7 linked regions of the Cricetulus griseus genome follow. The protein of the gene in region 2 purifies or fractionates together with the protein of the main gene of each other region. This does not show direct contact. Links are inferred from orthologs where the notes say so. Each region holds a gene or a part of one and is shown on either strand. Other genes may lie near its edges.

What was found.
Region 1: the proteins of Mavs (region 2) and Nlrp3 purify together in Homo sapiens (affinity purification with western blotting; 4 studies listed by BioGRID and IntAct, with this or other methods). This does not show direct contact. The link is inferred for Cricetulus griseus from reciprocal best matches to the Homo sapiens genes MAVS and NLRP3.
Region 3: the proteins of Mavs (region 2) and Ifih1 purify together in Homo sapiens (affinity purification with western blotting; 12 studies listed by BioGRID and IntAct, with this or other methods). This does not show direct contact. The link is inferred for Cricetulus griseus from reciprocal best matches to the Homo sapiens genes MAVS and IFIH1.
Region 4: the proteins of Mavs (region 2) and Plk1 purify together in Homo sapiens (affinity purification with mass spectrometry; 3 studies listed by BioGRID and IntAct, counting the BioPlex papers as one, with this or other methods). This does not show direct contact. The link is inferred for Cricetulus griseus from reciprocal best matches to the Homo sapiens genes MAVS and PLK1.
Region 5: the proteins of Mavs (region 2) and Nlrx1 purify together in Homo sapiens (affinity purification with western blotting; 4 studies listed by BioGRID and IntAct, with this or other methods). This does not show direct contact. The link is inferred for Cricetulus griseus from reciprocal best matches to the Homo sapiens genes MAVS and NLRX1.
Region 6: the proteins of Mavs (region 2) and Trim25 purify together in Homo sapiens (affinity purification with western blotting; 3 studies listed by BioGRID and IntAct, with this or other methods). This does not show direct contact. The link is inferred for Cricetulus griseus from reciprocal best matches to the Homo sapiens genes MAVS and TRIM25.
Region 7: the proteins of Mavs (region 2) and Ikbkg purify together in Homo sapiens (affinity purification with western blotting; 4 studies listed by BioGRID and IntAct, with this or other methods). This does not show direct contact. The link is inferred for Cricetulus griseus from reciprocal best matches to the Homo sapiens genes MAVS and IKBKG.

The regions. Positions count from the first base shown.
Region 1 is NC_048600.1:73,611,047-73,614,999, reverse strand, and holds part of Nlrp3 (NACHT, LRR and PYD domains-containing protein 3), read right to left. Parts: intron 3,913-3,953; coding exon 2,157-3,912; intron 808-2,156; coding exon 637-807; intron 1-636. UniProt on the Homo sapiens protein: Sensor component of the NLRP3 inflammasome, which mediates inflammasome activation in response to defects in membrane integrity, leading to secretion of inflammatory cytokines IL1B and IL18 and pyroptosis.
Region 2 is NC_048599.1:47,330,642-47,334,594, forward strand, and holds part of Mavs (mitochondrial antiviral-signaling protein), read right to left. Parts: intron 3,350-3,953; coding exon 3,172-3,349; intron 2,134-3,171; coding exon 1,967-2,133; intron 942-1,966; coding exon 806-941; intron 1-805.
Region 3 is NC_048599.1:112,265,768-112,269,720, reverse strand, and holds part of Ifih1 (interferon-induced helicase C domain-containing protein 1), read right to left. Parts: intron 3,220-3,953; coding exon 3,051-3,219; intron 1-3,050.
Region 4 is NC_048596.1:78,505,636-78,510,109, forward strand, and holds the start of Plk1 (serine/threonine-protein kinase PLK1), read right to left. Parts: upstream 3,113-4,474; 5' UTR 3,023-3,112; coding exon 2,621-3,022; intron 1,876-2,620; coding exon 1,707-1,875; intron 1,078-1,706; coding exon 933-1,077; intron 255-932; coding exon 161-254; intron 1-160. UniProt on the Homo sapiens protein: Serine/threonine-protein kinase that performs several important functions throughout M phase of the cell cycle, including the regulation of centrosome maturation and spindle assembly, the removal of cohesins from chromosome arms, the inactivation of anaphase-promoting complex/cyclosome (APC/C) inhibitors, and the regulation of mitotic exit and cytokinesis.
Region 5 is NC_048597.1:155,949,055-155,953,007, forward strand, and holds part of Nlrx1 (NLR family member X1), read right to left. Parts: intron 3,512-3,953; coding exon 3,442-3,511; intron 3,036-3,441; coding exon 2,947-3,035; intron 2,457-2,946; coding exon 1,837-2,456; intron 1,063-1,836; coding exon 241-1,062; intron 1-240.
Region 6 is NC_048600.1:102,152,708-102,156,660, forward strand, and holds part of Trim25 (E3 ubiquitin/ISG15 ligase TRIM25), read left to right. Parts: intron 1-2,291; coding exon 2,292-2,315; intron 2,316-2,636; coding exon 2,637-2,738; intron 2,739-2,824; coding exon 2,825-2,923; intron 2,924-3,402; coding exon 3,403-3,935; 3' UTR 3,936-3,953.
Region 7 is NC_048604.1:1,290,186-1,294,697, reverse strand, and holds the start of Ikbkg (NF-kappa-B essential modulator), read left to right. Parts: upstream 1-1,303; 5' UTR 1,304-1,401; coding exon 1,402-1,404; intron 1,405-1,921; exon of another isoform or gene 1,922-2,075; intron 2,076-4,512. Other genes in the region: G6pd (glucose-6-phosphate 1-dehydrogenase), read right to left, coding at 415-534. UniProt on the Homo sapiens protein: Regulatory subunit of the IKK core complex which phosphorylates inhibitors of NF-kappa-B thus leading to the dissociation of the inhibitor/NF-kappa-B complex and ultimately the degradation of the inhibitor.

The sequences.
Region 1 (3,953 bases), on a different chromosome or scaffold from region 2:
GAGAGAAACATAGATAACATACATAATACACTCATTTTTTTAAAGAAAAGAAAAAATAGAAATCTTCTTTTTAATTGTATTATGTTTAATTTAAATTTTTTCTTATTTCATATATTTACAGTTAATTATTTAAATAAAGTAGAGCATAGAATGGGGTATATGAGATACACATCCCCACAACATTTTGGTGTGTTCTGATCTTGCCAGCCATTAGAATCTGTGATGAAATTTCCCAGTTTTCACCCAGAATCCTCATCCATGAAGGAATAAAATACAAAGCCTTTATTTTGCCACGAGGAAATAGTTCTTCTCAGTTCCTCTTCACCTTCCCCATCTAAAGCTTTCCCTACTTACCTCAGTCATTCAGCCTGCCCATTTATAACAGAATCAGCTATGTTCCTCCAAAGCTTTGTGTATCAGAGTTCAACCCCAGCAGCCCACAGTGTGTGACCATATTTGGAAATAGGCAACTTCAAATAGGTAATTAAACTGAATCCACAGTGTTGGCCCTAGTCTATTTAGACAGTATCAGACACAAGGAAAGGTTGTAAGAGTTTAGAACATGGACACACAGCTGGAATGTAATGCAAAGACTCGAGGAAGAAACACACACCATACACAAATGTGGAGACTCACCACAGTCTCTGAATGTTACAGCCTGGATGCCGGAGGGCCTCACACAGCACCCTCATACCAGGATCCCCCAGAGTATTGTCGCTAAGGTCCAGTTCAGTGAGGTTCTGGTTGGTGCTTAGACTGGAGAAGAGGTCTCGGCAGAAGCTAGACGTGAGATAGCAGTTTGCCAATCTAGAATGGCACAGAAGAAGGACAGAAAAGAACATGGTTTTCTAATGTTAACAAAGTGGAGCTCAGAGCAGGCTCCCGGCACCTATTCATAGAAAAGTCTCCTAGATGTCAAGCCACCAGTCATAAATGTTCATTCAGAGGGAAGCAGGCTGGTGAGCCTTGGGTAGAGAGAGGTTCCTTTTGAAATGCAACGAAGTAAACTTTAGGCTTACTACAAACACCCTCAGACACCTCCTTCCCACATTAGACAGCTGGTGTGCCCCTGGCCTGGACATGCAGCAGACTGGTCCAGGATGTCCAATTGTAAAGTCCCGAGCCATGCTGCAACCACAGAAGCAAAGTCAGAATCTTAAAAGCTAAACCCATCTACATTGGTAGTTTTCATTTTCACAGTCATTTCTAGGATTCACATTAGAATATCCCTTATGAGAGTTTCTTTGTATACATGCAGGACTAGCTTTGTGACTCTGAACCTCTGATGAGGATACCCACATAGCTAGTCCTCTTGGAAGGTTCTGTGATAAACCAAGAAAGCCTCTGCTCAGCAAGGAAAATGGCTGTTACCTAAAGTAAGAGATCCCAACTTCTCATCAAGGGTTTTAGCCTGAGTCTCTGCCTTTCTCAAGAGTGTGTGGTCCTAATCTGGCCTCTTAGCCTCTCTCTACTCCTTTAGGGCCCTAAGGAGCCAATCTGTCTTCTTCTATCTCGTCTCTCTTTCCATCTCCCACTGGCATCATCTAAATTTTCACCTACTCTTCAAAAATTCAGATTGGTACCCTAGTCTCAGAATGTTGGGATCAGGAGGTGAGGTTTTTGGAAGATGGTTGGTCATACGGCAAAACCTCATAGATAATAACAGTACCTTGTGAAAGAGACAAACAAGGAGTTGCTTCCCCTCCTCCCACCAAGTAAAAAGAAAAAATATGTGGGGTGCCCAATATTCAGTCTTCCCATCCTCCACAACTGTAACAAACAAACCTTTTATCTTCAAAAATAACCTAGTTTCAAGCATCCATTACAGCAGCATTGAAATAAAGAGGATTGAAGTAAGACAGTGAGCTAGAGCTATAGGCTACATCTCCATGCACTGCCGCAGTCCACCTGATACTTTGTGCTGCACTGATATTCTCCCAAAATGCTTATTTCTTAGTTTACTGGATTTTGTCCTCAACCCCAATTATCCACCTAGCAGGAGTCACTCTCTACCAATGAAAAGGTGGCAGTCACATTATCATGAAGCTGGGCAATTATATTTGGAACATCAGAGAGGAGAGGAATTAAGGACCAAGAAATGTAGCCAGAAAGCATAAGGTGCTGGCTACCATCTTCTTGGAGCCAAATGCCCTTACCTGGAAGAACAGGCAGAATAGGGCTCTTGGAAAGCACACGGGACCTGGTCCACCTGTCGAGTTCCCCCCTTGTCTTCGTCTTCTTCCTTGGGTGAGTTGTGGAGAAACCCCAGGGAAAGTGTTTTCACCCGATGACAGTTCTTGATACAAAACGAAGAAACCACATGGTCCATTCTGGTAGAGAGGTTGATCTCAATTTTGGGGAAGTGGTCCATGGCTCTCTGCACAAAGTCTTCCTCCTGCATCTCATACAAGCAGTAGAAGAGTTCCAGCTGACTGGGCTGTCTCTGCAGCTTCTTGGCCTTGGCTTTCACTTCAATCCATTTTAGCAGTTCCTGTCTGACTTGCTGAGAGATCTTGCAACTTAATTTCTTCTCCAAATAGGAGGTTCTCTCCTGGTTTACAAGGCCAAAGAGGAAACGGACAACAAAAATCAGATAGCCTTTTTCAAACTTGCCATAATTTTCTAGGAGGACCTTCACATCTCGGTTCAGAAGATCTGAACAACCTGCTGGTCCCTTCCTCATAGCTGTCCCCTCTTCTTCCTCTTCCAGCAAGTAGTACATAGCAGCAAAGAACTCCTGGAAGGTCATGTGGCTGAAGCTGTAGAATCTCTCACAGTCCACTTCCTTTTGGAACACGTTCATCCTCAGGAATGCAGAGACGTCTGCCATCTGCAGGCCATGTTTCCTCAGATCACACTCCTCAAATAGGATTTTCTGGTTCCAAATGCCATCTGCAGCCAGTGAGCAGAGCCCCTGTAGGTGGGAAGAGAAGAGGTGCTCCTCCATGTCCCCTCGGGATTGCAGCAGGCTGGAAAGGAAAAAGACATAGACAGCGGTAGTGGTCTTGGAGGTCTGGGCCAGGCTCTTTCCAGTCTCCATCTGCTGCTTCAGTCCTGTGCACACAATCCAGCAGACCAGGGGGATGAAGCACATGGTAAAAAGAATCTCATTCTCTTGGATCAACCTGAAGGCTTCCCTGGCCTGCAGCTCATCTGAGAAATACTTAAAGAAATACTCCTTCCTTTTGGCCTCAGAGAAACCTAGGATCTCTACATGGCGAGGGTGGTCCAGCAGATGCTGCAGCTTCTCCAAGGCTACCGGCCTCGTTGTAATGAGCAGAGAGGCCTTGGGCAGCAGCTTCTTTCGGATGAGGCTGCTCAGCAGAATGTCTCCCCTCACAGCCTTCTGCCAGTCTGTGCAGACCTCTCCAATGTGCTCATCAAAGGCTCCTTGCAGCTCATCAAAACCATCCATGAGGAAGAGGATCCTGGAGGGCTTGTGCAGGATCTTGCACACTGGTGGGTTTGAGTCAGGCCAGCAGCTGACAATCAGGTCTCCCAGACTCCTTGATGTTCTGAGGCTCACCTCTCGACAGTGGATAAAGAATACATAATCAAATTTGTCTTTGAAGAGCTTCCCAGATGCCCAGTCCAACATAATCTTCCTGGCTAGTATTGTTTTCCCAATGCCTGCTGCTCCCTGGAACACCACTGTGTGTACAGGCTCTGTGTTTTCATCCTCTGGATCAAACAGTGACCCCAGCTTAATGGAACTCATGCGGCTATCCCACATTTTGGTCCTGCCAATGCTCAGTAATTCATTCTCTCTCTCCTGCTTGCTCGGATGCTCCTTGACCAGTTGTAGCTGAGTGTAGCGTTTGTTGAGGTCCACACTCTCACCCAGACGTGCATTCCTATCTTTGATACAGTAGAACCTGCTTCTCACGTGTTTTCTGTACATCTTACAGTAATCTGCAACAGAGACAGGAAGGTAGAATTCAGGAAAAGCCCAC
Region 2 (3,953 bases):
CAGGGGGATCTCTGTGAGTTTGAGGCCAGCCTGGTCTACAAGATCGAGTTCCAGGACAACCTCCAAAGCAATACAGAGAAACCCTGTCTTGGAAAAAAAAAAGAAAAAGAGCTTCCCTCATCAGCTAGTCCTATGCTATCCCTCATTCAGGTCCTGGTCAATCCATACCAGGTCCTTTTACCTGAGTGCAGAAATAGTGCTAACTCTGTCTCACATGCAGCAATGTACAGCAATGCACACCTACACGGCCATCACACCCTCCGGTGTGATTCTGCCAGTTTCTCCGTTCTCGGAATCTGGGTTGGCCTTATAACTTGTTTTGACCACAGAACAAGGCAGGAGTAATAAGGCCAGTTTCGAGTCTATGCCTCACAGCCCTGCCTTTCTTTTACCCAGAGCCTTGCCCAGATGCTATGAATTGGGTTTGTGTGCTAGAGGATGAGAGAACGAAGAGGCGCCAGCCAATGAATACTAACAGAACAAATGTATATGTCAGGGAGTACGTAAGAGTTCATCAACAAGACCAGAAGACCTACCCAACTGAGCCACGTGCTAATGAATATAAGCTGCTGCGTGCACACACTCACACATGCACGCATGCACGCACGCACGCGCGCACGCACATACACACACGCACGCACACGTGCACACACACACACACACACACACACACTGCACACTCTCTGAAGTGAATACCCTTTATTCCTATCCTGCATCCTGTCCCAGAAAGGCCAGGTGGTAACTGTAACCCCAACCTTCACTTGGGAGGTCTGAGAGACCCTGTAATACCACATTCTGTGCATACTTGCTGTGTAGGTTCCACCCACTTCTGGCTCTTGACCATGATGCTCTCTGGAGTGCTGAGGGCTGACAGCCTGCAGGTTAGATGACGGCATCCTCGGGATGGCCCCGAGGCTGGCCTGTGGGGGTTGCTCTAAACTCTGCAATAGAAGAAATGGTAATAAAGCAGCTGCTTCTCCCAAGAGCTGACAAAGAGCAACAGACATTTATGGGGCATCTATAAGCTCCAGCTCCTGTTCCCAGCATCTCGGGAACCCTTGCCTTGTTTCTGGCCATAGGTTATCTTCACATACCAGGGGGTAGCTCGTCAATAGTATACTTGTCTAATATAAGTCCCTGGTATCTATTTGGTTTTGTTGTTGATGTTACTATTTTTGCTTTGTTTTGAGATAGGGTCTTATGTATCTCACCCTAGCCTTGAACTTACTATGTGACTTCTGATCTACCTCCCTCTACTTCCTGGGTATCACACTTATAGGTATGAGTTATCTGCCCAGCTTATATGGTACTGGAAACTGAATTCAGGGTTGTGTGCATGTTAGACAAGAACTCCACCAACTGAGAACTACATCCCAGCCTCCTAGGATGACCTCAAGTGCCTTAAAAAAAAAACCAAAAAACAAAAAACCATGTACTGCCCAAGTTCCCTATCCATGTGTCTGTGTCTGGCTCTGTAACCACTGCATATAGCCCTTTCTTCAGCAGTTTCTGTGCAGATCCTATGGCTTCAGACCCAGTTTGGCGTCTCTTCTACAGCCCATGGCTGACTCACTTCATCTCAGTAGAACTAGTTATCTTTCCTCCATACCTGACTTCACTGTTAACAATAAAGAACCCTGTTATCATCCACCCATGACTTCCTGAACCTTCATATCACCTCCCTCACATTCAGATCTGGTTATCCCCTAGTCTTTTACCCAGCCCAACATGTCACATGACCACTGTAAAGACCTCAAGACCAGGGCCTCTTAGTTAGCTGATGACAGACTGCTGGGGTGGCTACAGGCCTGGCCATCAGTCAGGTAGCTCATGAAGGAAACCTAGTATTCTTAGCAGAGATAAGGCACGGTTTTCAGGAGGTAGGAAGGGGCTTCTGGAAGGCTGGGTGGGCAGAAGCAGGCAAGCACACAAAAGCAAGGGGCCTTGAAGTAGACTGGGAACCTACCTCTCCTGGGGAATTTGGTGGCTGGGTGTCCTGGACAGGCCTGGGGTAGCCTAGTCCCTCTTGGTAGCCATTGTCAGGGATGCTGTGACTTGGAGCAGCAGAAGGTCCAGAGGTTGTAGCAGGAACTGCTGGTGACTCCAGGGGAGCTAGGGAGCGGAGTGGAGTCCCTAAAGGACAAAGATGTAGCGATGCCAAGAATAATCAGAATTATCCTGGTAACAGAAGAGGCCTGGAAGCTTTTGAGATGTCTCCCTTAAATAACTTAAATGACCTGACGTGGGATGAATTCGTGGGGAGGGGGCAGGAGGGACAGGCGCTGGAGAAGACAGAAAAGGTGTCAAGGGAGATGGAGGGGCAGGAGCCCAGTTACACTGTCAGTGGTCACTCCTCTCTGTCCCAAGGCTTTCTCCTCACGGCTGTCATCTCCAACTAACCCTTGCCACAGCCCATCTCTGACCCTACCATAGTAGTCACTTCTACTTGAGAGAGCACTGCTGACTTCCACAAATGAAGAGACCAACTTGGAAAGAAGGGAGGAAAAGAAAGAGAAAAGCAAACATGGTGTGTTCAAGACTGGCTTGATTTTTCTTCCTGGATCTTCTCTTCAGGCCCAATTACCAACACCCCACCCTCACTCCCCACCCCCCACCCCCCACCATCACATGACTTGGCAGAAACATTAAGAGGAATTAAGGAGCAACTGGGCAGCTGGGTGTTGGGCTTAGAAACCAGGATGTTCTTAGAGAAACCTTGGGGAGGGAAAGAGAAATGAAGAGTGGGGTAAGTGATTGGGTATAGATTCTACACTCTACATTGTAGAGAAAAGAGATCGGAGAGAAAATGAGGACCAAGTAGGGAGGCAAACACATGAGCTACAAAATTGACGGCAGGTGCCTTGTGCTGGGCATAGGGGAGACGAGGAACTCTAGCTAAGCACTCAACAGGCATCACCCTGTGGTGTCTATCCACTGCAGCCACACATGAGGGATGTGGCCATTAGCCCCACTGTGACAGACTACAAAATTAAAGAATATTGCCGAAGGGACACAGCTAGTGAGTGGCTCAACTGGATTAAGCCTGGGTAGATCCTATGATGGAGAGTGATGAAAATAGAAAGGCAGGAGGTGCAAGGTGAAGGAAGAGGAAGATTGCAAGCCCGAGAAACAGGCAGGGTCCCAGGAAGGAGGCTAGGGCAGGATGCTCACCAGGAGGCAGGTAGCTCTGATACACTCGAGTCACTTGGTCAGCCAGTCCAGGCAGCTCACAGATCCTCAGTGCCCGGATGAAGAACTCTACCCAGCCAACCCGTCTCTGGAGCTTATTGAAGAGTTCCCAGAGTGTGTCCCGGTTCCCTAGTTGCGTATAGGAAGCCCGCAGTCGATCCTGGAAGACAGTACAGCCACCCTACTCAGGCCAGGTTGCCCAGGCTTTTCTCCACTCAGACGAGAGCTACTGCAAAGGGGACACTAAGAAAGCCACAAGAAGAAGGCAGCTACCTGATACTGGGCGAGAGGGAGGACAAGGCCAGGGTGGTAGCACAAGTATGGAGTAAGGAGGAGCAGTCAACAACAATAAAGGGTGCCGCCAGGAAAAGGCTCTGGCCATGTCTAGTTTTACAGGCACTGTCCCATTAAATGATCGCCGGGCAGTGGTGGCGCACACCTTTTATCCCAGCACTAGGGAGGCAGAGGCAGGCAGATCTCTGTTGAGTTCGAGTCCAGCCTGGTCTACAAGAGCTAGTTCCAGGACAGCCTCCAAAGCCACAGAGAAACCCTGTCTTGAAAAACCAATAAATAAATAAATAAATAAATAAATAAATAAACAAATGCTATAATCATCCCCACTTTACAGACTTTACAGGTAAGGAGGCAGAGGCTTAGCAGAAGCAAAGCAGCAAAGGATGCAAAGCTTGAATCAGACAGCCACTAAAGCAAAGAGAAGAGGGAATGAGTTGGGAAGGAATAGGGGCCCAACAACAATGGGATAA
Region 3 (3,953 bases), about 65 Mb from region 2:
GGTAAGTGATATTTTTATCCCTTTCACAGACAAGGTGAAATCCAAGGATGTCTGGTAACTGACCAAAGGTATCAGGTCCAGGGAAAGAGCCAAGAGCATAGAAGCATATGGATTTCAAGTCTGGGGCCCTCTGCCATGGAAACGTACCATAGCCTGGGTGGTTTAAAGAGAAGAAATTTAATTTTTACAGTTATATACATGCTAATCAACTATCATGGTGCCAGCAGGGCTGCTGTCTGCTGACCCAACTTCATAGCATACTCTACCTTCTCAACGATAAGAAGAAAGATGGTTGTTTTACTTCCTCACCTACAAAGCCCACAATCGTAGCATATTATGGCCTGCGGGTAGGACTTCATTGAAAATCAACAGCTTCCTGAAGACAGGCCCTTCAGATACACTCATTATAGGAGTTAGGGCCCTGATACATGAAGCTGGAGGGGAATAAAATTTTCTACATAACTTTTTACACTGCTTCCTTCGTTAATATCTTCATTGCATGCAAAATGCATCCATTCCATCTCCAAAGCCCTTGATGTCTTAACTTACTCCAGTCTCATGTGAAGTCTAAAGTCCAAAGCTGAATATTACCTATATCATGTATGAGACTGTGTGACTGATCCTGAGGTAAATTCCCCTCCATTTGGCGACTGAGAAGGCAGACAATTTGGACCCCAGAATATAGGCCTGAAACCAACACAGAGCAATATTCTTTTCCAAAAGGGAGAAATGGGAAGGAACGTAGAGGTGACGTCTCTTAAATAAACCCTAAAACTAGCAATAAAACAGTTTACTTAAATACCTAATATAAATATTATGTATATAGTTGTTACACACACACACACACACACACACACCAGAGAGAGAGAAAGAGAGATCATGAAACTCATGACTTTTTTCAATTTTTAAAAATTTTAATTGAAATAGAATTAGATTACTTCTCCTCTTTCCTCCCTCTGTCCCTTCCTATGTCTCCTGCTTCCAACCCCTCCCATGTCTTCTCCCCTTCTTCTCAGATTGATGGCCTCCTTTTCCTTGATTTTTATTGTTACACTAAAACACACACACAAACACACACATGTGCATAAATATGAAATACAACTTGCTGAGTCCCTTTAGTTTTGATTGAGTGTGTGTGATTTCAGAGCTGACTACTTTGTATTAGATAATAAATTAGGGGTACATTGCTGGGAGAAACAAATTCTCCCTCTTCTTTGAAGACATTAGTTGCTCATAATTTTTTTTTCGTGGTCTAGGGAAGAGACCCCATGAGACCTCCCACTTCTGCTTTACTTTTAGTATTGATATTGTCATTGCCCAGGTCATATCAACAATATGGTATCATGGGTGTAGCTTCCCTGTCATTTCTAAGAGACACAGTGTCACATCAGACTTCTTGGTCTTCTAGCTCTTACAATCCTTATGTTCCCTCTTCAGTGATGTTCCCTGAGTCTTAGGGGCAAGAGTTGTGTTTCAGATGTATGCATTGGGGCTGGGCTCTCCACAGTCAGCTGATGTTTGATGACCAGTTGCTACTTGTAACCCTCTCTGATGCAAAGAGAAGTTTTTTTTTTTTTGGTGTGTGGTGAGAACTACACTTGGCCAACAAAATGGGTTCACAGGCTGGGGTTCCTGAGCTAGGCTTGAGACAGCCGCACGCAGCCCTATCTGATTTTTGAACCTAGCTGGACTCACCTTTCACTAGCTCCCTCAAATTCTTAGAAAATTCCAACGAAAACAAACAGCTTCAGGACATTAGAGCCTCACCTATGTTTACTACAAACATGTGACATTGTGTGGTGTTTATCTGGGGGCGGGGAGGATAGAAAATTATCTTGCCCAGCCATCTGGATGATGCTAGCCTCTTCCTACTGGTTTCCATGTAGCTCATTCTTATCATTTTATAATCCTTTTCGTATTTTCTTATAGTTCACAGTAAAAATGGTCTGATTTTCTCTATTGAGCTTTTCTACTGTATCTGTTTCTGTCTCCTTGGATGTAATCATAGGTGATGGAGATGATGTAGATTAATCACAATAGACAGTTACAGATGTAGATACAGGTACACCCACACCTGTAATTTTAGTAGAAACATTAGAACTTCCGCGTTGAGAAATCTTGGAGTTTCTGTCCGATTTTGAAAGCTATTTTAATCTCTTCTGATAAATAGAGTGAAATATATTTACATGCTTCAGAACTTCAAACTACTTGGCAAAAGTAAAAGATTTTCATAAGCCACACAGTAAAACACAGCAAATGTTTCTCTTAAAATCTAGCAACATAATTGAACTAATCACAGTCCTTCAATTCCACCTATTATTGGTTCTATTTGCAGAGCCCATTCAGAAAATCATTTACTGAGTGAATCATTTTACTAGAATGAACAGAAAAGGAGGACTTTCCCAGGTCTCCTGCAACTCCATATCCTCATCATCTAGAACAGTTCCTGCTACAAGTTCACTGAATGATTGCTGAATAACAGAAGGGAAAACATGAAATAATTATAATGTTGATAATTATTTATTAATAATGGACTTGTTTTTTCTGCATAAGATATTTTGAAAACAGGATACGTATTTTTGAAAGGAAAAACTCAATGGGGCAGTTTAAATTAAGTTTACAAAGGAAGTATGTAAAATATATTATTTTAGAATATTATTATTGAATATTTAAAAATTCATATTAGGTGAAAATTATGTGTGTTCATAAGAATAAGCCTTTTATAATATTAAGAATCAAAAATATAGTTTCTTCCAATTTATCTGTGTCTTTCTAATGTAAAAATATCTTAATAAAAATTTGAGGTGATTATCTCATTTCAAAAATAAGATTTGAATGATGGACTGTTGCTGAACTGGTGGTCATTCCAGTGTGCTAGGGGACTCATAACAGAGTCTTTCCCACACATTGGCCTTCTCATTTGTAAAGGAGATGAAATCAATTCTTCCCACTTAAAAATGTTGACTCTAGAAGTCCTGGTGTTTGACATTACAGTTGGAGGCTTCATTGACTTCTCAATCGCACTGTATCACTGCTAGAATTAGGAATACCTGCAATGTCTTCAGGGCAGCCAGCACCTGTTAGCTCTTGGCAGAGTGCATCATTTCCAGTTTGGCGAAGAACATCCAGGAAGGTAGAAAACCAGTTTTCTTTGTGCACGATCCTTCTCAACAGCTCTCTTACACCTGACTCATTCCCAGCATTTCCTGCACCAGAAATCTATCATTTCAACATAAAGGAAGGAAGAGGAAACACTGTCTGAACACATGAAAAGTGAAAATCCTCAAAAAGGAAAGTCAAGGGGTTAAGCGTACATATAAACAAATGCTTATATCCAAACACTAAAGAAAACAGCAGTGTTCCATGCAATTATTCCAGAATCTATCAGGGAAAAAAAGTCATTGAATCAAATCCTCTTCTAAATATGCAGTATTTTTTAATCCAGAGAATTGTTTTCATTAGGCTGAATTGGTTGCTCAGTGGTTAGAGGCACTTGCTGCTAAGTTTCATGGCTGATTTCACTCCCAGACATCACATGGTGGGAGGGGAAAACCAGTTCTTACAAACTGTCCTTTAACTCTCACTCCTCATTTCCTCTGCAGTTCCCACCACAAATGAAACTCCTAAACAAAAATTTTATTATAAAGGAAATAGTAAATAGTTGAGAAACTAATAAATGTTTTGCTTGAGCTTCTGTGACCAAAGTCAAGAGAAAGTATCTTCAATCTGTTTTCATGTTATGGCTTGTGTGTGTCTATGTGTATGTCTGTGGGTGTATGTGTATGTCTATGTGTGTATGTGCATGTGTGTGTTTGTATGTCTATATCTCTGTGTGTCTATTGTATGTCTGTGTGTGTGTGTGTGTGTGTGTGTCTATGTATGTGTCTCTGTGTACATATGTGTGGGTTATGTGTCTGTGTGTATATATCTCTGTATATGTGTATGTGATATGG
Region 4 (4,474 bases), on a different chromosome or scaffold from region 2:
CTCAGCATGCAGTAAATTCAAGGTCAGCCTTCAGACATACATTCCCTGTGGCTATACTAGAGGCAGGGCTGACTCATCTTTGTCCCCAGGATATAGTTGGGCTCAGTGATCAGATTTTGGGTGGAACATAAAATAAATTAAAGCATTATGGTGCCATTACCTTGGGAATGCTGTATTCATTTTTCTTGATCCGGAGGTAGGTCTCTTTTAGGCATGAGGTCTCAAAAGGTGGCTTGCCCACTAGCAAGGTGTACCTGGAGGCACAAGGAAGGATTTTGCTCAAATTCCCAGAAAAGTCCAAATGCAGAAGTCATTGTCTAGAGGAAGGGAGCTGGGCTGGATTCACTGACTCAGAACGGATGAGGCTGATCTCCAAGTCTGCTCAGTCTCATAGAAGCCAATGGCTGGGATAAGCCCTCAGAAGAATGCAGGTGACAACACTGAATACCAAGCGCTAGAGATTCCCCAGCTCTGGCCTGCAGTAATAGAGGACTCCTCAAGAACCGCAGAGGCCACTGCTATCTGCCACAGGCACAAGCACCATGATGGAGCTTCTGCCTACCATGAACCTTTCTGCTGATCTGATTCTCCCATCAGCACTCATCAGTGTTTCCAAAGCTTTACTGAAAGTCAGCCAGGGATTTTATTAGACCCAGGTCCAGAACTGAGATTTCCACATCCTAACAAACCCTCAGAGGTATTGATGGTTTGGGTTAGTGCATGCTTTTAGTAAGCAGCAAGGAGCTGGAGGAAGAAGTGTAGACACATTTGGTCCCTTCCCTGGACCATAAGTCCAAGCTACAGGAATGCTATAGATTGATAAATAAGGAAAAGGGGCTTCATGTGGGATCCAGAGGGAAAGGTCAACTGGATGAAATGCCTCAGAAAATCCTGTTGAGACCCAATAGCTCCTGAGTCCATTCCCAACTTACATGATACACCCAATGGACCACACATCCACCTCAAAACTGTGTCCCTTCTTGCTCAGCACCTCGGGAGCTATGTAGTTAGGAGTGCCACATAAGGTCTTCTTTCGTTCACCTTCATATTCCACTTTGGTTGCCAGCCCAAAGTCCCCTGGGACAGAGGGAAGAAGAGAGGTGATTAGCTGCTAGGCCATCTTGTGGCTGCAGACAACTGCCTCAGGACTGACCATAGAGAGCCAGTGCCTCAAGACTCCAGTCTCTGTTCCCGAACCTTCCCACTGCCCTTTACACTCCTCTTTAGATAGCAGGGCTAGGGAAGTAAGATGGCTCAGTAGGTACAGGTGCTTGCCGCTAAGACTAACAACTTGAGTTGACCCTGGAACCCACAATGGAAGAACAGAACTGACTCCAGAAAGTTACCTTCTATCTCGAACCCCACATATATGAAATTTAAAATACATAGGATAGCAGAATTGGATGCACTAGGGAATCAAGTAAATATTCTTTGTGACTGTGACAAGTTTAAGAAAAGTGACAGGAGTATAGGGACTGAGGCAAATCAGAGTCTCAAGGGAAAAGGTGCTTTTCAGCTCAGTAAAGGGACAGCAAAACACTGGCCTGTGGGACACTTACTTTCCATTTCTGGACAAGAAGGCTTTCTGGAGGGCAGCACCTCCATTTCCCACCCACCTTCCACTTCTCTGGCTCCCATTCTCCCAGAGTTCCCCTCCTTGCCACCTCTTGTACTGGCACCAGACACCCGCAGGCCCAGCACCTCACCTATTTTCACCTCCAGATCCTCGTTCAGGAAGAGGTTGCCTAGCTTGAGGTCCCTGTGAATGACCTGATTTCGGTGCAGATACTGGCAGCCCAGGACTATCTGACGTAGATAGTAGCGTGCCTCGGGCTCGGTCAGCGCTTTCCTCCTCTTGTGCAGTTCCAGGAGAGACTGAGGAAGAGGGAAGAAGGTAGTTAAGCCCAAGGAAAAGGGTGGCCAGCTGGATGTGGCCAAGATTAAACCCTCGGGAGTAAAGTATAGACGGAAGTTTCCTATCCCGACCAGCCGATTCCAAATAACTACTCTGAGGCTTATATTAATTATAAATGCTCGGCCTATAGTACAGGCTTAGCTAACTCTTCCACTTATTAACCCATAATTCTTATGTCTTGGCAGGCTCCTAATGGTTCTGTCCATACACTGGTCAGGCCATTATCATTCACAGGACCCCTCTCCTGTTAACGAGTACCCTTACCCAGCGTCTTCTCTCAACCCCTTATTTAGGGGCTTCCTCCCAGCAGGAGACCCTCTCCTTTTCCTGAAAGCTGAGGTCTGACTCCAGACAGCCTCTCCTCCCTCCCCCACTCCAGACCCTGCCCCACTCCACTCCGGAAGTTCTAGGTCCGCGGCAGCCGTAGCTTGGGACCCTTGTTAATCACTTTAAACACCCATTTCCTGCACCTACTGGCAGTCTTGCGTGCAGGAGCCACCTTCCCTAATAATAGCAACAGGTCCCGGGTTCCGCTTGCCCTCAACCCCCGGCCTCAGCAGCTCGGAATGCCAAACACCCTCACCAGGAGCCCCTTCATAATTGCTTGAAACCCAAGCACTCCTCTAGGCCACTCCAAGGCGTCGATGCCTCTTTGCCAGCAAGTTCCCGGTGTGGTCGCCCCAACACCACAGCAGAAACACTCACCCTCCTGCGACAGAGCTCCAAAACCACAAACACAAAGTCGCTGTCCTCAAAAAAGCCGTGGAAGCCTACGACGTGTTGGTGTGCGAGGCTGCGGTGGATAGAAATCTCCATAGACATCTTTTCCTTTTGGTGGGGCTTGAGAAGTAAAGACTTCGGCACGATCTTGCCTGCGAACACCTCCTTTGTGTCTGCATCCGAGATCTCGAAGCATTTGGCAAATCCTCCTTTACCCAGAAAGCGGCCCCGCACATACTGGCGCCGGCTGCGTGGGTCCACTAAGACCTCAGGAATCTCTTTCGACAGCGGGGCGGTCACTGGGGCACCGGTAGCTGCATCTCCAGGAACCCCAGCTTTCCCGAGATCGGCTGGTGCTCGAGCCAGCTTTTTGGCCGCTGCATTCATGCTCCTAAATTTGCTACGCGAACCTGGCCGGGCCGGTGCAGAGATCTTGCCCTGCTCCGCTCCTCCCCGAATTCAAACGCAGCGCTGGGAACGTTACAAGGACCTGCGCGTTGTTGATTGGCCGCGGGGATTTAAAATACAAACCCGCCCAGCGCGCGGCACCATGGGAGTGCTCTACGGCGCAGCCGCTTTTAAACCCCCGATCTTGTGAGGAGAAACTTGATGGGCTGGGACTTAAGGATTAAATGCACGTGGGATACCCTGGGAAACTAGGAGCGGATGGAATACGCGGAAATACCCAGGGGACAGAATTCGGTCCGGCTTTCTGCTCCTCGGCCAGAGAATGCTCCTGTGGTTCATGCCCCTCCTCCAGAGGCTTCTCCAGTTAGGACCTAACTAACACCTTCCTCCACTCCTCCTGGCCTTCTAGATCTGAAACTCCAGGCCTAGAGGTAGCTTGGCAGTGCACCGCCTTCGCCCTCGACTGCCGTCTCCCTGGCTAGTCTATATAAACCCAAACCTGAACAAACCCAGCATGTCTGGCAGGCAAAAGGAAGCTCTGTGGCAACCACTCCCGGAGCCCGAATTGAAAGGAGCTCTAGACTTCTCCAGTAAAACCCAGGGGTCAGCAGTATCTGCAACACCCAGGAACTCCTTAAGAAGGAGCGTGGGTTCAAGATTGCAAGTTAGCCTAAGGCCAGCCTCAGCTACCAGGCAACATTCCTTCCCCCCTACCCTCGAAGGAAAGAAACCGCCCAGGTCTGACCTGCAGGTCAAACAAGACTGTCAGGTGATTCCTACACAAGGTGATCCTAGAACTCGGGAGGCAGAGGCAGGCAGATCTCTGTGAGTTTGAGATCAGCCTAGTCTACAAGAGATAGTTCCAGGACAGTCTCCAAAGCCACAGAGAAACCCTGTCTCGAAAAACCCAAAAAAGAAAAGAAAAAAAGAAAAGCATCAGCTCTCTCCCCCCTCTCGCTGCGTTTGAATTCGGGGAGGAGAGGAGCAGAGCAAGATCTCTGCACCGGCCCGGCCAGGTTCGCGGAGCAAATTTAGGAGCATGAATGCAAGGTTACCTGGCTTGTCCTAAGTTGCTCCAAATAGAGAAAACTAGTTTTTTTAGTCAGAGGGAGGGATGGCTGGTTGGAGAGTGCTAGCAAAGTAGCAGGGCCAAATCTGCCCAGCAGGGGTGTTTGTTGGCCTTCATTTAAAAAAAAAAAAAAAAAAATTTACAACACTTAAAAGGAATGGCCACACAGTGCAGGTGAGTGACTTTCCTAAAAAAGTCAACTCTGGCCGCCGTTCTCCAGGCACTCCCTTTGCCTACTTGCCCGTCTGACTTCTGTGGAAACTCTGAACACACCAGGTAGGTGCTTGGCACTGAGTCAACTGCTTTTGCCACCCTGGACATGGGGACAAAGGCATATAAGATGGACTTTGCACCCAGATAAC
Region 5 (3,953 bases), on a different chromosome or scaffold from region 2:
ATTCCTTAGACCTCAATTCCACTAAAAGCCAAATTTCCAGAAGATTTCCATGTATGCAAGAGGCAGCCTCTCCCCACTGAGAGAAGACAAGAAATGCATACAGATCATGAGGCATTCTGGAATCCTGGGAGGAAGGAACAAGGAGAGAGAGAGAGAGAGAGAGAGAGAGAGAGAGAGAGAGAGAGGGAGGGAGGGAGGAGAGAGGAGAGAGAGGAGAGAGTTGGTGTCAGGGATCTTTACCTTAAGCAAGTTGAATAGGAGAGGCAGAATCCGCAGAGGCAACAGCTTGGCCACGATGCCCAGTACCAGGCTGACATCCTCCCCAACGCGGCCCACTAACTCAACCACTTCTTTACCCACTCGCTGCAGGGCTGTTTTTCGTAAGCCCAGCACAATGTAGAGGGCAGCCAGGTATTCCTGCATAGCGGGCACCGTGAATACGAAAGTACCCAGGTGTCCTGGTTCCACACACGGGGCCAGGAAAAATCTCAGGGCATCCCGTCGGAAGATCTGCAGCAGTTGAAATTCTTCCTCTGTCTTGATGCCAGCTTCCAGGCAGCCACGGACATCCTCTTCAGAGAAATAGGTCTTGCGGGATGACACGCCCTCATAGGCCAACTTGCCCATGGTTCGGGCTGCATAGGCCATCAGGGATAAATTGGAGGGATGGGTGCTGTCCAGTGTTTCACCGCTAAAGTTCAGACGAAGGAAGCTGGTGTAGATGCTTGTGAGGGTCTGGCCAGCAGGTGTAGGAGCATGCAGGAAGTGCAAGGTAGCACAGACAAGCCAGCAATAGGAGGGCAGGAAGCAGGCAGCGGCAATCTGGTGGTGCCCCTCCAGGTTTCGGGACAGCATCTGAATCAGGTTGTCCCGCTGAGCTGGTGTGGCTGAGACACCTGCGCCCCCTGCACCGTATCCACAATCAGGCTGGTTAAGGCGGAGCTGGAAGTAGAGCTTCTGCAGGTTGGTATCAGAGAAGCCACAGATCTCACCATAGCGGCCCACATACTTGCTAGGGATACGGCCAATGGCAGAGGGCCGGGTAGTTACCAGAATGCTGGCCTGGGAAGGATATGGTTAAAGGTTAATAGAGAAACTTCTGTGTCTCAAGAAACCTGATTGTCACAGGCCTTGGTGGTGCAGGCCTTTAATCCCAGCACTCGGGAGGCAGAGGCAGGCGGATCTCTGTGAGTTTGAGGCCAGCCTGGTCTCCAGAGCGAGTGCCAGGATAGGCTCCAAAGCTACACAGAGAAACCCTGTCTCGAAAAACCTAAAAAAAAGAAAGAAAGAAAGAAAGAAAGAAAGAAAGAAAGAAAGAAGAGAAACATGATTGTCTCAAGCCCATAAAGATTGGGGGGAGGGTCCAAGAACGAAGGGCACCATAGTTATCAACATTATAACTAACAGCGCTGGGCATTGTGGCACACGCCTTTGATCCCAGCACTTGGGAGGCAGAGACAGGTAGATCTCTGTAAGTTCAAGGTCAGCTTGGTATAGTTAGTTCCAGGCCAGCCTGAGTTAACAAAATGAGAACCTTCCCCCAAAAATTCATCAGCATCAATTACTGATTATTTCCTATGGCCCCAGGCATAGAGCTAAGCACTTTATATATGGTATCTCACTTAACCCATACAGAACAAGGGCAGAAGGAGAAAAAAGTTTGAGAAGATAAATGACTTGCTCAGGGTCCCACAATTAAGAAGTGGAGGGGCCAGGGATTGAACTAACCTAGGTACTGGCCTACACAACAACCATGTAGGCCAAGAACATAGAGTTCCCTGTGGAGCAGGTTAAGGGGCAGCGGCGGCAGGGTGTATGTAGCAAAGAGCAACCCACCTCAGGAAGCATGTATTTGCGTAGCAGGTTGACCATGATGGCAGCTGGTGCCCCGGGTTCCGCTGGGTCATTACAAAGCCCTGTCCCTGCCAGCCGGAAGTCAAGGTTGAGACGTTCCAAGCCATGGAGCACAAAGAGCAGGCGGGATCCGGCAGCGGTCATCAGGGGCAACACCTCCTTCAGGGGTGTGTAACGCTGGGTCACAAGTTGGCACAAGGAAGCTGGGGTGGAGCCCAGGGATGACAAATCCTCACAGGAGAAGGGGATGAGCAGCTCAAAGGCCGGCAGCCTCCCGTAACACCAGTCCAGGACCATCTTGCGTACCAAGGTGCTCTTGCCAGTACCCACGGTCCCATACAGCACCACTGTCTGCACGCGGCGCCCACATGCATCTGGGTCAAAGAGCTGAGACAGAGCCAGTGGGGGCAGCCCAGCGTGGGTTCGTTGATGCCCCGTGGCCAGCTCTGTGGATGGGCGAAGCAGCTCATCTGGGGTGCTCTCGCGGATCACAGGGTCAACATGGACTGTGTCTAGAGCAAAGGTTGGTCCAAACTGACGCTCCTCTCTAGGCAGCCGGCTAAACCACTCTGTGAGGTTCCGGCGATGCCTTTGGATGGCTTCTGGATGAGAAAGCAAAGGACATGGGTTAAAACAAGGGAAGAGATGCTTGCTCTTCCCGCCAGCCAGGGTGGCTGTAGGTCAAGATGGGGAGTAACACAGAGAACTCAAAGATACAGGAGCCCATCGTGGTGTGGACAGATAGAATTCCCTTAACCAACAGATCACTCGTAAGGTTTAGGAGCCCTGTGACAGAACACAGGGAGCCTCTGAACCAAGCCTAGGCTAACTGGCTTCCTGACTTTCTCTTTGTATAGTCTTAACTAGTCATAATCTGGCTACTGGACCCGAGGTTGGCTGAAGGTAGGGAGAGACTGTCTCTGTAAGTGCTTTGTGTATGGTCCTTGAGCACAGCACCAGTGATGCACAGATGATGCAAGGAAGAGAGACAAGAAGGGAAGGACCACTAGTGGATGGCAGCAGTCGATTCCCTATGCTTTCCTCATCCTCCCTCTCCTTCCAGGCCCCTCTCCTTCCCAAACCCTCCTTTACCAGCAGCAGAGATACTCCTGAACAGCTGTCCATGCCTCCCTGGTGGGGGAACACTGTCTGCTGAGTTTCCATGGTGACGGATAAAGGCCCTGGGAGAACAGACATAGGAAGATTTGGGGCTTAGAATGGAACTCAACACTGACGTGGGCTCAGTCCAGTCCAGTCTGTACTTTCCAAGATGACACCCGACTCCTACCCTTCCCAAGGATCGAGGCCTGGCCCCTCCAGCCCTAATTGCTGCCCGCCTGAGACTCAGACTGGCTTCTGCTAGATCCACCCACCCCCCATCATCATGTGTGTCTACATAATCCGCCCCACCCCCATCGTCTACATGTGTGTCTACATGATCTAAGCCGACTTCCTCTGGATCCCAGGAAGTTGCCTCTGTACCATGCTGCCATCTTGCCCAGGGGATCATGACAGCACATTCTAACCATTCCCATACCCTGATCTATGTCTTTCTATGTTCTGAGGCATGACACACCCAGGTCTCACCTAGGGGTCCCAAGGGGATGCACCCCTTTAAATGGCCAACTCCAGTGGGTCAGGAAGGAGATACGCTCATCTACAAAGAGAAAAACGAGGCAGCATCTGTAGATCCCATCTACATCCCATCACTAATGCACACCCCAACACTGACATCATAGCCCCCTCCTATTTGCACTTACAGTAGCATGTGCTATTCCTCAATAGCAGTTATAACATAATCTTCTATTTAGTAATATGATTATTTGATTATCATCCATTTCTCCTTCATGAATACAGAGTTCACATCTGGTTTTATTCACAATTATATACCAAGAACCTAACCCACAGTCTGGGACACAGCCAACACACAGCTAATGTCTTGGATGAAAAATAAGATTGATACTGCTAGAAGGAGCCTACTCAGCTAGCTCCCTTTTAAAGATGGGGAAAGGATCTGGGAGGTCAGGTGACATGCCCAAGGACACCAGCTACAGTACCACATGGCTGGGGCTAGTGCACCTCATGTCTGGATCCCTGAT
Region 6 (3,953 bases), on a different chromosome or scaffold from region 2:
TAACGGATGGTTGTCAGCCACCATGTAGTTGCTGGGAATTGAACTCAGGACCCCTGGAAGAGCAGTCGGTGCTCTTAACCTCTGAGCCATCTCTCCAGCCCAAGTAGCCTCTTCTTATCTCTATGGTGTCACTGCGGCTGTGGCTGAAAGGTGCTTGGCTGAAATCATCCCGTAGGCCACTGCTGCTTCCAGACAGGCACAGCCATCCCAAGTTTTACCAGGGTCTCAACTGGAGAAATGTTCTGAAACAGGCCCCGTGTAACAGGTGGTGCAGGGCCAAGCAGGCGCTCCTGAATCCTGAAAGGTGACTTCACCATCCACCCTGGCTGTGTGGGATAGCAAAGTCACCAAATCTGTCATGTGTTTGAGGAAACACTTGACACTCCAAGCCTAGTCAATAAATGTGCTCTCTGCCCAACTGGCTTTAATGCACACTGTTGCAGTGGTTCTCCCTCTTTTTTTTTTTTTTTTAATCTTTCCTGTCTTTAGTTTGTGCGTGTATGTGTGTTTATGCTTGTGTGTGTGTGAGTGTGGACACGTGGTGCATGTGTGAAAGTCAGAATTCAATCTTGGTTGTCAGTCATTACCTTCCACCTTGTTTGAGACAGGGTGTTTTGTTTGCCATGGCATAAGCCAGACTCACTGGTCTGAAAGTTTCCGGGTTCTCCTATGTCCGTAAGCCATCTTACCATGAGAGTTCTGGGAGACATGCATGCTACCCCATCTAGCATTATCTGGGGTCTGAAGATCTGAACTCGTGTTCTCATGCTTGCATAGCAAGTGCCCTTTGCCCAGTGAGCCATCTCCTGAGCCTTGTGTTTCTCACTATTTTCCTCTATTGACCTCTCCCACTGAGCCATAGGCAATGTTTTCCTAATTGTCCCCTCCAGTGAAAATTTGATTCTACGCGTGTACAGTATATCGGTTTATTTATAAAAAGAATAAGCAGTAACCAGGGCATGGTGGTTGCATGCCTTTAATTCCAACACCTGTGAGTTTGAAGCCATCGTGGTCTACATAGGGAATTCCAGGACAGCCTGGGCTATGCAGAGAGACCCTGTCTCAAAAAAAGGAAAAAAAAAAAACAAAAAAACAAAAAAACTCGCTCTCTAGACCAGACTGGTCTTGAACTCACAGAGACCCACCTGCCTCTGCCTCCCAAGATTAAAGGCATGTGCCACCACCGCCTGGCAAAAGAACACCTTTTACACCCCACACCTCAAGCCTTAGATTTTTATCCCTGTTCCCCTCCTCCATCGGGGATAGTGTCACTGTCACTGGGAATGTGGACATTGGGCTGGAGAAGAATAGTAGGAATCTCCTTGCTCCTCACATTTGGAAAATAATGACAGTTGAGCCCGTGGGATGAAAGCAAGTGAGGTTCCCATGGGACACACTGATTGTTAGAATTCTTTATAACCCTTTTAAACCAGCAAGCTGTAACTATTTCCCCGAGGTCTACTGAAAAGGCATCTAGATGCCCGCTGCTAGTGTTGTCAGGGGTGTAAGAGGTGCACTTTACTGCTTGTTGCTTGTATATAATGTGTGAGTTGTCTTTAGCAAACCACTGTTGGGCATTGGTCTCTCTGTGGACTAGAACACCTAGTGACAGGGTGTGCTTGGAAGAGCCCTGGGGAAGGCAGGATGTGTTTTTTGTTGTTGTTGTTGTTTTGTTTTTGTTTTGTTTTGTTTTGTTTTTCAAGACAGGGTTTCTCTGTGTAGCTTTGGAGGCTGTCCTGGCACTTGCTCTGGAGATCAGGCTGGCTTCGAACTCACAGAGATCTGCCTACCTCTGCCTCCCAAGTACTGGGATTAAAGGAGTACTGGGATTAAAGGCGTGTGCCACCAACGCCCGGCCAGGATGTTTTCTAAGCACTATTGTGACATTTTAACCAAGACTATTTTTTTCTGACCTCCTCTTTTTTGCTTGTTTTTTTTTTTTCCTTTTGCAGAGTTCTAATCTGTAGCAAAATGCACAGACCCTAAATGTATAGTTAAATATGTCTTTGACAAATGGGTTCCATCTTATCATTACCCAAACCAACGTAAACACTTCTTAGAAATTCCTTCCTATTTCCTAATAGTCTATAACCCCATGACCCCATGACCCCATGACCCTGGTCAGGGTTCCTGTCCTTGCAGATGTGTGTTTGTCCGCCACCCCCTATATTTTAAGTTAGGCAGGCTAGCCTTCCTTAGTTTGTATGTGTCAAATGCATATTGATGAATGTTACTATGGTCTTTTGTGTATGCTTTAAAATTCCTTAATCCTAAAATCTCTCTTTTTTTAGAGGAAAAGAAGACCAAGAAACCAAGTAAGTTGTACATTTGTGTATCTCTTGGTTCTCAAGACTTGTGTGAGTCTAGAGCTAACGTTGAGAGCAACAGCTGTACTGCTTTAACAAGGGTTCTGCCATGGCCCTGTTCTTACAAATGTACGCTGTGAAGGCAGGCAGGCTTGAGCAGGGAAGGGAGGCCCACCGTGCATGAGTAAGAGCCTTATCTGGACTCACTTGTGTGGCCCTGGCTGGTCAGATGTGTTTGTGAAAGTTGACAGCCATCTTAGAAGGGGGGAGAGGTCATCCAGTCCTCTGTGTCATATTGCTGTTTCACCTTTGTCTTCTCTTGGCTCTCAGCTGGTGCTACCGGCTCCTTTCCCAGCTCTTCCTCATTCAACAAGCTTCCCACCTTTGGAGCTCCTGGACAGTCAATGGATTTTAAAACAACTGACCCTGATGGTGAGTTGTTGTGACCAAGTGCCAGAGAAATATCTGCCATTTGTCCCAAGCTTGTCTTGAATACCTCTCTCTGTTTCCTCTTCTAGCCGCACCCAAAGCCAACACCTTGCAGCCAAACTCTACTGCACTCAAAGCTAAGATGCTAGAAAACTTCTTAGCCAAGTCTAGGGCCGAGCTTCTGGAGTGTGAGTAGCTTGACTATGTGGATGGAAGAGTGGGTGGGCAGATACAGATAAATGGGTAGATGGATGGGTGGGCAGGTAGTTGGATGAATAGACAGATGAATGGGTGGTCAGTGTACCAGTGAGTGGGGAGTTGGATGGGTTAATAGATGATGCGTGTATCTGAGTGGGTGTTTGGAGAGATGAATGGCTAGTTGGATGGGTGGGTGGGTGGGTGGGTGGGTAGATGGATAGGTGTATGTGGATAGGTAAATGGATGAATGGGTAGGTGTGTATATGGTCGGGTAGATGGATAGATGAGTGGGTGGGTGAGTGAATGGATGGATGAATGGATGAAGTGTGAGTGGGTAGGTGGGTATGTGGATATGTGGATGGATAGGTGAATAGCTGGGTGGATAAAATAAATGTATAGATGGGGAAGGCTTTAAAAGTGAAAGTACCTTGGGTCTCTTGTCATTGATTCCCGGGGGGTGTTTTCTCAGATTACGTTAAAGTCGTCTTCGACTACAATACTGCCCACAACAAAGTGGTTCTGTCAGACAACTATACCACCGCCTCCGTGGCTGAGGGACTTCAGCACTACCGTACCCATCCCCAGAGATTCACCTACTGCTCTCAGGTTCTGGGGCTACAATGCTATAAGAAAGGCATTCACTACTGGGAGGTTGAGCTGAAGAAGAACAATTTCTGCGGTGTAGGCATTTGCTACGGCAGCATGGATAGGCAGGGCCCGGAGAGCCGTCTGGGCCGTAATGCCAACTCGTGGTGTGTGGAATGGTTCAACAACAAGATCTCTGCCTGGCACAACAATGTGGAGAAAACCCTGCCCTCCACCAAAGCCACTCGAGTTGGTGTGCTTCTCAACTGTGACCATGGCTTTGTCATCTTCTTTGCTGTCACTGAAAAGGTCTATTTGATGTATAAGTTCAAGGTGGACTTTACTGAAGCCCTGTACCCAGCCTTCTGGGTGTTCTCCGCTGGTACCACGCTTTCCATCTGCTCCTCCTCTAAGTAGGCAGGCCACTAGGCCAGC
Region 7 (4,512 bases), on a different chromosome or scaffold from region 2:
CCTTTCACTGAAAGCAACTGTAACATTTGTCAAATTACAGATTTGGAAAACATATAGACTGAATAGCACTTCCTGGTTGCACCTCAGTTTTTTTTTTTCCATCCAGGAGGAAGAAGTTCAAGTAGATGGTGCTTTAGAACTTGCATGCTCCAAGTCTGGCCCACATTTAATGGCTGAACATAGATTTCTGAAAAGCCTTGCAAATGAGAAATTTGACAGAAGTACATGATGTACAGCAGGTACTGACTGCTGTGATGATCAGGACACACAGGTGGGAACATATGCCGTGAGTTCAAATTAGAACCTGTGTGGCCCCTTAGCAGTCAGTTGGGAAAGTTCAGGTAAAGAGAGAGAAGTGCCTTGCAAAATGCTACATTTGATTTTTTTACACTCAGGGCCTGAGGGGAGACTCACCGATGCACCCATGATGATAAATATATGTGTATCAGCTTGGTGGAAGGCATCACCCTGGTACAACTCTTCCCTCAGGATGCCACACACCTGGGTCCGGCTCAGGGCCACCTGCTCTGCCATGGTGTTTTCTGGTGGAAGAAAGACTCATTGATAAGGCAGGAGAACAGAAGAGCATTGACAACTTAACCTTATCAGAATCAGAAACTGCTGCTTCTGGGCTCCAGCCATATCCTATGTTGTCTTCTCTGGGGGCTGTACATTACGAAATCTCTATAAGCATTAATGGAATTCAGCTAGGGAATCCACTCTGGGAAAGCGACGCGGTCAGAGCATCGCACTGTGTCTGGGGCCATCGCACTCCAGTCTCTGCCAGAAACGCCACAATGAACTGAGCATCTTTTCATTGTGCAGATGATGGAGTTCAGCCCCAGCTCTCTGCTGGCCAAGCTAAATGATCCCAGAAAGACCCTTCTCTTCTAAAAGTCTAGTCCTCATGGGCCTAATGCGGGGAAGTGCGGGGTACAATGGGATGGGTTAAGACCTCGTAGATCTTTTTCCATATCCAAGCATAACAAATAGCGCTCATCAAAGGGACACGCGGCTCATAAGCGGGAAGCACATCCCTCCACCGGTGTGCTATCAGACCACCCCCTTTACCTGTGTTTAGTTGCTGCTGCCAAACAGGTTTACAGTTCTGGAGTGCACAGCTCGTTTCCGGGGGCTGCGCTTAGCTGGCTCGTTTAACGCAGGAGGGCGGGTGCTTTGACTGAGCTGACCCGCCTCAGGAGAGGCAGGAGAGGAGGAGCTTCGGACTACTCCATCGGTGAGGGAGGGGAGAGTAGCAGAAGTAGGTGCGCACGCATCCCTTGTCAGCCCCACCCTGTTGGCCGTCCCTGCTTTCCTGCTCCGCGATCGTGATGCTTTGCTGGCACAGATACAGCTCCGCACAGTTCTCCTGCGTCCCCATCGCTACCCCAGCCATACTTTATGGTCTGTTTTCCGATGGACCCTCGAGTCCCTGCGCACTCCTGGATGACCCCACTTCCGTTAGCAGCATAGCCACGCCTCCCCTTGCAATCGGTTTGGCGTCCTTTAGCAGCTTCTTCTAGGCTTTTTCCATGGTAGGGACCTGGTGGCAGAGAGCCCAGTGACAGAACCAGACTAAAACTGGGGTGTTTCATTGCGAATGCGACGCCTTGAAAATGGGGTGGGGACAACTGTGGGCGAGGTGACACACGCCTTTAATTCCAAGCACCCGGGAAGCAGAGGCAGGTAGATCTGGATAGCTAGGAGAGAGACCCTGTATCAAAAAAAAAAAAGTGTGTAAGTGTGTGTGTGTGTGAGTGTGTGTGTGATCTTTATCAGTGAAGAGCGTTGCGCTCTTCGGTTAGCCAATGCAGGCTGGCGGTCTGAGGCTTCTCTTCAGAGTGGGATGCAGCACTATTGTGGCTTCGCAGCTCCAGTTAATCTCCTCGACTTCGAGTCTGTGTTTTACTTCCGGATCCCACACTTACGACACCGGAAGCCGGAAGCAGGGGTTTCCACAGCCGAGAAGGGAAGGGTGACCGCCCAACCAGGACTTTCTGAGAGCTCCGATTCAATCTGAGAGGTCGGGTTCCGCTGCTCAGGCCCTCTTCACTTCTGGCCGACTCTGCTGACAGGTGTAGTCCTCTTCTCCAAAGATAGGGCTCCATCGGTGGCCATTATGCAGCTTCCGAGGCTCCTGAGCCCCCTTCCCCCCACCTTGGGCCCAGTTTGTTCTGTTGCATGCTTTCGAATGCTTTTTAGAGCATTTATTCAAGAAGTGCAGATTCGCGACCCAGCTTACTTGGACTGATTTCTGTCCTTCCCTCTGCTTATCTGTCGCCTAAGGGCTTGGCCCCAAGTGCTAGAACTCTTAGTTCACAGACATTTTTCTGTTGATGAAACTTTGTTTTCTGAAACAGCATCTCGAAATGTAGGCCAGGCAGACCACGAGCACAAGATTCTCCTGCCTCAGCTTTTTCAAGTGTACCGACTTTGCCTTTGTTTTTGAAGGGTTCACGATAAAAGGGAGAAACAGTCAAAGTTATCTTTGATGTAACTGGTCCCAGTGGGGTCAATTGATTGTAAAAGGCAAGGGAAGAAAGCATGGTGATCTGTAAAGAGATTATTGCAGTAATCCATGTGAAGGATGATAGTGCTGTCAGCCTTTTATTACTGAAAACTTTAAAAATGTACAAAAGTAGAAATATTAACATAGTAAGTTCCATGTACACATTTCTTAGTTGTCTCTATCAACTCATAGCTAACTTTAATTCACAGCCCTTACAGTACTCTACCATGATTTTTTTTCCTCTTTAGAAAAGATGTTATTTTATGTGTGTGGGTGTTTTGGCTGTGAGTATGTATGTGTACTACATGCTTGCCTGTTGCTAAAGGAATTCAGGAGAAGGTGTGAGGTCCCCTTGGATTGGAGTTGCAGATGTTTGTGAGCCACCATGTGGGTGCTGGGAACTGTCTCTGCAACAACAGCAAGTGCTCTTAACCACTGAGTAATCATCTTTTTTGCTCCACCCATTATAATTTTCAAAAACAGCTTTCTTGAGACATAATTTGCATGCTGCACCATTCACATTTAAAAACTAAAAATATTTACTATTTGTGTGTGTGTATGCATGATGTGTGTGGAGTGTCATGGCCAGAATGTGTTCTCAGGTTTCCAGGCTTGCATACCAATAGTTATCCACTGAGATGTGTCACTTGCCCATAATTCAAAATTTTTGGAGAGAGTCTCATGAAGATCCCTTCTTTTTGAGTTTCTCATCCTCCTGCTTTTACTTCCTAAGTACTAGGATTTACAGAAGTACACCACCACATCTGGCTACAATTCACGTATTTAAGGTGTATAATTCAGTGGTTTTTAGTGGGTTCATAGGAGTGTGAAAACATCACTAATTGCGGAACATTGTCATCATCCCTAAAAGAAATCCTAAATAAGAAACTCCAATCCACCTCATTTCTCTAAGTAACCACTAAACTACTTTCTGTCAGGATTTACATGTTTTGGATATTTCTTATGCTTGTAAGTATATACAGTATATAGCTTTTAGTGACATTTCTTTCTCTTAGCAATTATTTGGAGCATGTGTTCTTGTTTTTGTAACAGATTTTGCTTATTCATCAGTTGGTGGACATTTGGATTGTTTCCACTCTGGCTGCTTTGAATAATGCTGCTGTGATCATTTATATATGGACATGTGTTTTCATTTCTATTGGGTTTATCCATAGGTATCTCTTTTGTTATGCAGTGAATTTCAGACATGTGAGTGTTTCATTATGTATCTCTTTCAGAAAGTACTCTCAATAAACATAACTACAACACCATGATCACACTTAAAATACCTAATGTTATAGTGTGTCTTCATGAATTAAAAAGATGGGCAGGGGGGAAGATAAAGGAACAGAAAAACTAATCGAACAAGCAAGCAAAAACTCAGAAATGCTCAAATTTTTTGTCCTGATAGTTGGGGGATGGATTTGTTTTCAACTGATAGTAAGGGAAGTTGTGGATAGAAGTGGATTTGGGAGACTCACTTTTTTGGGTACTGCTGGGGATCCAGAGTCTGGTGAATGTTTGGCAAGTACTCCATTGCTGAGATATACTTCTAGTTCTGGGAAATTAATTTTGACAAGACCTCTTTTTATTTTAAAAATATTTAATTTTAGTTTTTATTTGTGTGTGTGTGTGTGTGTGTGTGTGTGTGTGTGTGTGTGTGTGTGTCTGTCTGTCTGTCTGTCTGTCTGTCTGTCTGTGCTCACACCTCTGTGTGTGTGTGTGTGTGTCTGTGTCAGAGACCAGAAGAGTACATTGGATCCCCTGGAACTAGAGTTATAGATAGTTGTGAGCTGCTCAACATGGGTGCTAGGAACCAAATGCTCTGGAGGAGCATTGAGTACTCCTAACAGTTGAACCATCTTTCCAGCCCCTTGAGTAGACTTCTTCTTCTTTTTTTTGAGTAGACTTCTAAGTATCCAAGTAGTTTTATATTTGAGTCTGCAATTTAGGAGTGAGAACTGTTTGGGTTTTATCAATATTAAGATTTGGGTTAAAGCCAT